Danio rerio: one gene and its partner. The protein of the gene in region 1 interacts with the protein of each later gene in a biochemical or structural test. Links are inferred from orthologs where the notes say so. Each region holds a gene or a part of one and is shown on either strand. Other genes may lie near its edges. The genes, in order: btk and sh3bp5a.

The links.
Region 2: the proteins of btk (region 1) and sh3bp5a form a complex in vitro, tested with the Homo sapiens proteins (2 studies listed by BioGRID, with this or other methods). The link is inferred for Danio rerio from reciprocal best matches to the Homo sapiens genes BTK and SH3BP5.

Annotation. Positions count from the first base shown.
Region 1 is NC_133189.1:43,489,199-43,493,024, reverse strand, and holds part of btk (tyrosine-protein kinase BTK), read left to right. Parts: intron 1-1,829; exon of another isoform or gene 1,830-2,765; coding exon 2,766-2,884; exon of another isoform or gene 2,885-2,917; intron 2,918-2,966; coding exon 2,967-3,124; intron 3,125-3,229; coding exon 3,230-3,307; 3' UTR 3,308-3,826. UniProt on the Homo sapiens protein: Non-receptor tyrosine kinase indispensable for B lymphocyte development, differentiation and signaling. Binding of antigen to the B-cell antigen receptor (BCR) triggers signaling that ultimately leads to B-cell activation.
Region 2 is NC_133194.1:2,323,637-2,328,243, reverse strand, and holds the start of sh3bp5a (SH3 domain-binding protein 5), read right to left. Parts: upstream 3,082-4,607; 5' UTR 2,792-3,081; coding exon 2,711-2,791; exon of another isoform or gene 676-2,710; coding exon 613-675; exon of another isoform or gene 342-612; intron 1-341. UniProt on the Homo sapiens protein: Functions as a guanine nucleotide exchange factor (GEF) with specificity for RAB11A and RAB25. Inhibits the auto- and transphosphorylation activity of BTK. Plays a negative regulatory role in BTK-related cytoplasmic signaling in B-cells.

The DNA of each region.
Region 1 (3,826 bases):
ATAAAAGTCTCCAGTTTGAATTAATTTTAAGATTGTAGTATCCCAAAAACTATTACTTACCACTTATCACTTATTTTCTCTAATGCCGAGTTCAGGCTGCATGGTTTTCAAAGTAGTCGTGTCACGAATGTTTTCACACTGCATGACTGTCTGGGACAGCGTTCTGTTGGTGGTGTGTTTACACTGCAAGATGGATCGGCGACAAAGGGTTTCAAACTGCATGACTTTACTATAGGAAGAATCGCAGACAACTTTGTCTAAACTACGTTTCACAAACAAACACAGACGAGTAGTGACATGGAAACACGAGGTCACGTAGTAGCCTATATATTTTAATATTAACTACATAATGAGAAAGAAGACTTTAGAGGGGTAGAAAATCTACTTATTTTACTCACATGACTTTAAAGGGAACTAACATTAGCAATTTCTCTCAAACTTTTTTTTTGACTTGGTTGAGGTTGCCCGGTTGCTCAGACCAAATTTGCACTAGTTTTTCCTCCATTTCTTGTGTCCAAATCACTTTTAACTTCTCCCCCATCCTCCCGATGGCCTGCAGGTATCCACCAATGACTGTAAAAGGTATCCACAGTTGTGGGCGCTGTTCTCTCATTGGCTGTAGGTAATCAGTCATACATACATTTTCTTGTCGGCTTAGTCCCTTTATTAATCTGGGGTCACCACAGCGGAATGAACCGCCAACTTATCCAGCATGTTTTACACAGCAGATGCTCTTCCAGCTGCAACCCATCATTGGGAAACAACCATACACACTCATTCACACACATACACTACAGACAATTTAGCTTATTCAATTCACCTATACTGCATGTCTCTGGACCTGTGGAGGAAACCGGAGCACCCGGAGGAAACCCAACTGAGACTCGAACCAGCGACCTTCTTGCTGTGAGACAACAGCACTACCTACTGCAACACCGCGTCGCCTAGCTGTAGGTAATCGGCGATGTTACTTTAGATCAAAACACATTTCACACAGCTCCAGATATATAGCATTTAGGGTGTTAGCGACTCATCTGCAATTCTCTCAGATCACGTCTTTGATGGTTAACACTGTGTGATCGTTACTCATATGAACGAGCACCGATTTGCCTGTAATTTCAGGCATTTGTCAGCAATTTCTCAAAGCCTGTCGCCGAGTCAAAATCGGGGCTAAAATCATGCAGTCTGAAGCATAACAGAGAGCATGATCCAGACCTGATTAAAACTATATATTAGCTTAATGTAAAGGGATACCCAAATAAAAAAAAAAAGTGTGATGGCGTCTGTTTCAAGAGATTTACAAAGAAGGTTTTGTCAGAATCTCTTTTTGTTTAGTTTTTTTAATTTTCTCTAAAAGCCTTGGAAAAGAAAACTAGCAGTCTAGGTAAGAAGTGCTGCATTTCTGACAAATGGTTTAGGTGTTTGGTCAATCAGAGTTGACCATACTGTGCTTTTCAGGAGGCTCGTTGTAAAAACCAGAACCCAATCGGACAGAGTTTTAGACTGGGAATAAATTTGTTGCAATAAAGTACAACATGTGACAAAAAAATAAATTAAACTAAAACATGAAAGCATATTGACGCTTGTGAAAATTATGACCTTATAAAATATCAACATATTTCCTTTTTAAGCTAAATTATTTACATATATATATACAGTTTAACAGACCTTTTAATTTATTAGCCCACCTGTAAATTGTCCCTGAATCTTAATAATATTAATATTAATATTAATATTAATAGGGGGTGTTGTGGAAAAAAGATTCTGGTCTGCAAAAATATTAGTCTTTAAGTCAAACTTTTCAAAAAATGACAAAGTCTGAGATCTTCGAAGTCTTTAGACGAAGCAGTTTATTGTTACAGCATCAGTAACAACAGAGAGGTCGTTCGAGTGTCTGCCGAACATAGGCTTGCATACAGTTTAAATACATCTCTGTGTCTTAATACTCCACCCTAATTTACACATTACACACCTCCATCAGCTCCTCCGCTAATGGGATCTTAACTCTCTTAGGTGCCCGCCACCAATAAAGTCTCAGGGTCTTTTAGGGGTCTTACCCATGTCCAGTTAAGGTCTTTCCTTCCTGCTTCAAAAGCGATGACTCAGCCAAAAAACAATGCTCAACAATACATCTTGTTCACTGAACTGTCAACTGTAAGTTCAGCTGAAGTTCATAAGTGCTCATAATTCTTTAGATGTCAGTACAAGTGTGTGGGCACACGTGCAGGTGTGCTTTATCATGAGTTACAGAACAGAACGCAGGTGTCCTTATGGCCTTGCTTCCATAAATCAACCCTCATTGTGACATTAATGCTGCTCTTCTAATTTATCTTCTCATCTCTGACTGCATTTACACAGAATTACTTTTTTATTTACCAAAGCACACATACCTGATAATAATGCCACAGGTATGGGTAATACTATAATAGATAATAATACTGAAATCACTCAAATAAGCATATAAATGAGAGTAATACATTCATCAGAAATTCATCAAGACACAATGAAATCCCCAACAGGGGTTAATAATATTAACCTTAAAAGTGATTTTAAAAAAAATTAAAAACTGCTTTTTATTCTAGCCAAAATAAAACAAATAAGACTTTCTCCAGAAGAAAAAATATTATAGGAAATTCTATGAAAAAGTCCTTGCTCTGTTAAACATCATTTGGAAAATATTTAATAAAAGACAAAACAAAATCACAGGAGGGCTTATAACTTTGACTTCAGCTTATTATTACTACTAACTGTTGCTGTCCTTGCAGATATGTTCTGGATGATGAATACACCAGCTCTGTCGGATCAAAGTTTCCAGTGCGCTGGTCACCTCCTGAAGTCCTCCTTTACTGCAAGTTCAGCAGCAAGTCAGACATCTGGGCATTTGGTGTGTCACAGCTACATTTTCAGCATAGATTACCTTCAGTCAATAAAACAGTGCTAATTATTGTTTATTATCTCTCTGACAGGCGTTTTGATGTGGGAGATTTACACTCAGGGCAGAATGCCGTACGATCGGTGGAACAACACAGAGATTGTGGAGAAGATTTCTGCAGGACACCGGCTTTATCGTCCACAAATGGCCAATGAAAATGTCTTTGCCATTATGAACAGCTGTTGGCATGAGGTATATATAGCTGTGTGTGTATACTGAACATTTTTTTTAATCTAATATCTTATCTGATAATTCAAATGTGATTTGACAAACTAAAGAGTTTGCCCTTTTTTGCAGAGACCCGATGAGAGGCCCACGTTCCAGGAACTTGTTGGGGTCATCAAGGATTTGCTTTTCAGTATGCAAGAGATATAACTACTGTGCATCTGTAGACATGAAGGATACAGTCCACCTAAAGCAATCAAGAATCATTATGAAAGCTGTCTTGAATAACCTTCTCAGTTCATTTCTTTTACCTGAGAAACCCAGTAATGTGAACGATGAGTTACATACGTTTTCATATATTAGTGTAAGTTTGAAACATTGCAAAAACAGGAGATTGAAATGTGATTTCTCATTAGATATTTCACCCCCCCCCCTCCTCTTCCTGCATTTTCCTCAAAGCTCTGCTGTATTTATAAAATTTCTTTCAGTTTCATCTAAAAATAAAATGTACTTTTTAATATCACAATTATAATAACAAGCAACATTAACAGTAAAAACTACGCATGCGTATGCATAATGCCTGTGTGTTGATTTTTGTTGATTTGGCTGTGTATTGATATACTAAATATATAAGTTTAACTTAGTACAATGTAAAACAAAGTGTGATCTAGAATAAATCTAGTGTAAATATATCTGTGTATATTTTATTAAAAACATTCTCTCCTGTGA
Region 2 (4,607 bases), on another chromosome or scaffold:
ATATGACTATTTTTCAGCGTGAGTTTTAGTTTTGTTTTATTTCAAAAAACATTTAATGTTAGAACAATAACCCTGATATAAGGCATATATTACTACACAGGCGTCAACAATAAAATAATATTTCTCTTCTTTTATTTTGGTCATGGTATTACTATTAAATTATATTGAAATACTTTGGGATACCATGCTGTAATCAGTTACCACAGAACTACATATTTTTGTAAGGATGCATATGCAAAATCTTTTAAAGGATATTATAAATTAGCTGAAACAAATCAAGGAAATGGACATTTCTTGTGCCAGTATAACCACTGGCAATTTACTCCTTGTTTGTATTCCAGTGAAGACGCAGAGTCTCCAGGGATTGGAATGACAAGCATTTTCCTAAACGACTTCTTAAGCAGTTGTGGCTTTCAGGGCAGGAATTCCAGATTTCCCCTGTTTGCTCTACAGATATAGACCTGTCAGTCACATACAGGGAACTTCCTATTGGTAGGTGGTGGAATGGAGGGCGGAGCTGAGCTCTTAGACTGGTTCCACTGTGAAATTCCGCCTGCAAACATTTTCAGCAGAAACAAGCAAGAGCTCAAAGCAAGCCTGTGGAAAGCTCACCTCCAGTTCTGTCTCCCATTGGTTGATGTTATCCGTGGACTGGTTCAGTTTCTCCAGCTCTCCCTGTGCAGAGATAAAGCAGTGGAGATTGCAGTTAGATGTCAGTGGAACAACATCTGGAAAGTGTTATTGATGTAACCCAATGCTAAAGTGAAGCTGAAATGCGCGCTGATGTTAGCTTCACGCTGATGACACACAGATGTTGTTTTCATTTGCAGATCATGCGTTTGTTTTCCTACATGGGTGGAGGATGAAAAACCAGTTCAACTAGCACAGTCTTCAGCACAAGGCTCTTTGCAGTGCTCTCGTATCAAGAGAAATGCCTTCTTTTATTGTAAAGGACGTTCTTCACGTGCACTTTTAAAGCAAAAGATGTTACAAAAAGATCTTTTGAATGATAAAACAAGCACTCAAGAAGAAGAAGATAAAGTATCAGGACAGACTTTAAGCTCTTAATTCTATATGAGAACTAAAAGAGTTTTCACAGTGATGCCATACAGTAGAACCATTATCATTCATTCATTTTCCTTCGGCTTAGTCCCTTTAGTCATCAGGGGTCGCCACAGCGGAATGAACCGCCAACTATTCCAGCATATGCTTTAAACAGCGAATGCCCTTCCAGCCGCAACCCAGTACTGGGAAATATCCATACACACTCATACACTACGGCCAGTTTACTTCATTCAATTCCCCTAAAGCGCATGTGTTTGGACTGTGGGGGAAACCGGAGCACCAACATGGGGAGAACATGCAAACTCCACACAGAAATGGCAGCGGTCCCAGCCGAGGTTCGAACCAGCGACCTTCTTGCTGTGAGGCGGCAGCACTACCTACTGTGCCACCGCATCGCCTATTATGTTTTATTTTTTTTATTATTCAAATGGACAAATTGTGACTGAGGAAAGTTGAATGTGCTGGCCAGTTTGTTATTCATCTTATAAATGACACAATAAGCTACAGTTTTCAATTTAAAACTTTTTTGTAAAGATATATGATTAATATTTGTCATTTTTTTTTTATTCTAATGATATAAGAAATATGTTTGATACAGCAAAAAGTGTAGTTATGACCCTAACCCTAACCTGACAAGCTAATTCAGCTAAAATGTGTGCTTAATGTCACCTAAATGCAGTATTTAAACCTCATGATTAAATAGAAAATGAGGTGAATAACTGCAAAAAGGTCCACTTATTGAGAAAAAAAACACCATTTTCACCAGGCTAGCTACGGCCCTGTGTAGTTTATTTTGAATAATCAGTTTGAAATGGCATTATGATCCGACAGATCGCACTATTATGTTTTTCGTTTTCTTTTTCATTCTTTTATAACCTATTTTAACTCATTTTAATTTGTTTTTATATGTTTTTAATAATTTTTATTGTCTGCATTTTATGTTCCTAAACTTGTCTTTTTTATTCCTGTTTATGTAAAGCACTTTGAATTGCCACTGTGTATGAAATGTGCTATATAAATAAACTTGCCTTGCCTTGCCTATTATGACTTTAAGACAACATTACTATTTTATTAACTGATTAGTCCTAAACTGCTAACATGATTTCTCTATATAGAATTCGTAAATAATACTTTTATGAAATGATTTTAAGAAGTAAAAGTCTGAATGTGCGAGTATAAGACCAACTTGCCCTTCAGAAACGACACTGAATCCTGCATGCAGTGCACGTGAGATCAATTGTTTCTTTACCAGAGGAAACTGAGTTCTAAATATGACGTCAAAGTAAACATGTATCAGATTGTCAATGCAACAATGAAACAATGTAACATAAAATAAGAGATGATGTAACGATTTGGGGTTCCCCTCATCAAATCAAACACCAGCTGGTTTTTATGACAATCTGAACAAGCATAGGGCTGGAATCGTATATTACACGACAAAATATGCTCGAGTTTTGCAGCTATACGTTTAAAAGCCCGTGCAATTTAACTTCAGTTCAGGTTTTGTCAAGGTTAAATAAGAATAAGTTAGACAATTCCACATATTTACTATGATAGAGCCTGTAGGAATCCCCTCAGCTTTCGTTTTAATCCGCTTTAAGCCTTTTTGTCGTTGTGAATTCTCGCATTGATTTCCATCTCATACCTGAATCCTCGGGTCGACCTCTTCTTCCTCCAGAGACTCCGAGTCTTCATCAGATTTGTTCTCTTTCTCCGGCTCGTTCATTTTGCTTGTAGACGTGATTGTTTTTCTTTACCGGCTGAACAAAGCGTGTCTCTGTCCGGGATAACGGGTTCCAGATCCGCGCATCTGCGGTCACTCCATTAGACAGCCAGAAAACGCGATTAAAAGAGACTAAATCGATCCCTCACATTAGATATGAAAGATATCGTGCTTATACCAACACACACACACCCGTAGAAAACACCGGCAGAAGGAGAATGAGATCTGCCGAGATCCTGCCCGCCTCCTCCGGCACAAACACCCGCTGCTGTGCTCAAGAGGAGGGTCACTACAGTTCACACACACACACACACGCACACAGAGAGAGAGAAACACGGGAAATAACTGCTTTATCTGCGTTTTTTAGTTAGTATTAGTGTAAAAATGTAACAAAAAATATTGCAATACATACTTGAATGATGCTTTAATTTATTTTAATAGGCTAATCAAGTTTCAACTATTTTACTCAAAGTTTAACTTATTATTTGTTGTCAGTTGGTGTAAGTTGAGATGACTAGAAAAGTTAATTTGCCCGCACACTCAATTTTTTTATTTGTATTTTTTATTTTTGCATGTTCAGACTTCATATTTAAAACAAGCTAAACGCAATTTTGGCGATTTTTGCGAGAAACTTAATTTTTTTTTAAAGTTTAGTCCACTTTTGTAACAATAACTTAACTGATTTATGTTGAGACAGCATGAATAGCCGTAACAAAAATCGGATTATCCATATTTCAACCTTATGTTGGTTAAAACAATTTAGAATTACTTAGAGTTTAAGCAAAATGTAAATTCCCGAATGTTCTAATAAACGTCTGTAAAAGTGTTTCCACTGCTTTGAGAAACATTGGGAAATGGCGCTCTCTGGTGGAGAACATTCGACATCATGCATGTGCAGCTCCTTGTAGACGAATAATCCCATCAACAACAAAAATCAACCTGCGATATTTGAATAATTTCATGATTATGTTTTGAGGTCAGTAATGTAATTAGACTGAATTCATAAATTATTGATTGTATATATTATAATTAAAATGGTTTAACATATATTTTTAGATATTATCTGTTAACTGTTTTACATATATACACTAAAAAACAATGAGTTATTTATTTTACCCAATGGTTGGGTTAAATATTTGGTGCTTTGTTGGGTTATTTTTAACCTTTATTAGTTTATATATTAATTACTCAACCAGTTGGGTTAAATATTTGGTGCTTTGTTGGGTTATTTTTAACCTTTATTTGGTTATTTATTTAATAACTCAACCAGTTGGGTTAAATATTTGAGTTTCAACAGTGAACCGATGTAACTGACACAAAACAGCTGTATTAATATGTGTGCGTAATGTTGTTTTTTCTTTATAAAGTTCATTTAAGCTGTAACTCAATAATGTTTTTTTTTTAATCAAATTACCTCTTCGTGTCGTGTTTTTTTTTTTTATCCGTTTCACCAAGACCATCTTTTATAAGTGTTTGTTTGTGGTTAAAATGTATTGTACATTGTGGACACTGAGTAAAGCCTGCTGCAGCTGCTGGACAGCCTCTACAGCACACAGAGCTCCATATTCTGCTCCATCAACACAGGATTTTCTGCCTGCACAGTTTATATCTGTCTTCTTTGTTCTGTTTCTTCATTGTTTGTGATTCCTAATTATTTTAACAAAAGTTTCTGGAACTAAAAGTAAATAAAGCGTTTTCAAATTTTTTTTAAAAGTATGTTATTTATTTACACAGCCATAATTATTAAACTAATAGTAGTACTAACAACAGTAATACCAGAATGGAAAACAATAACATTTAATCAAAATAACCCATTGCA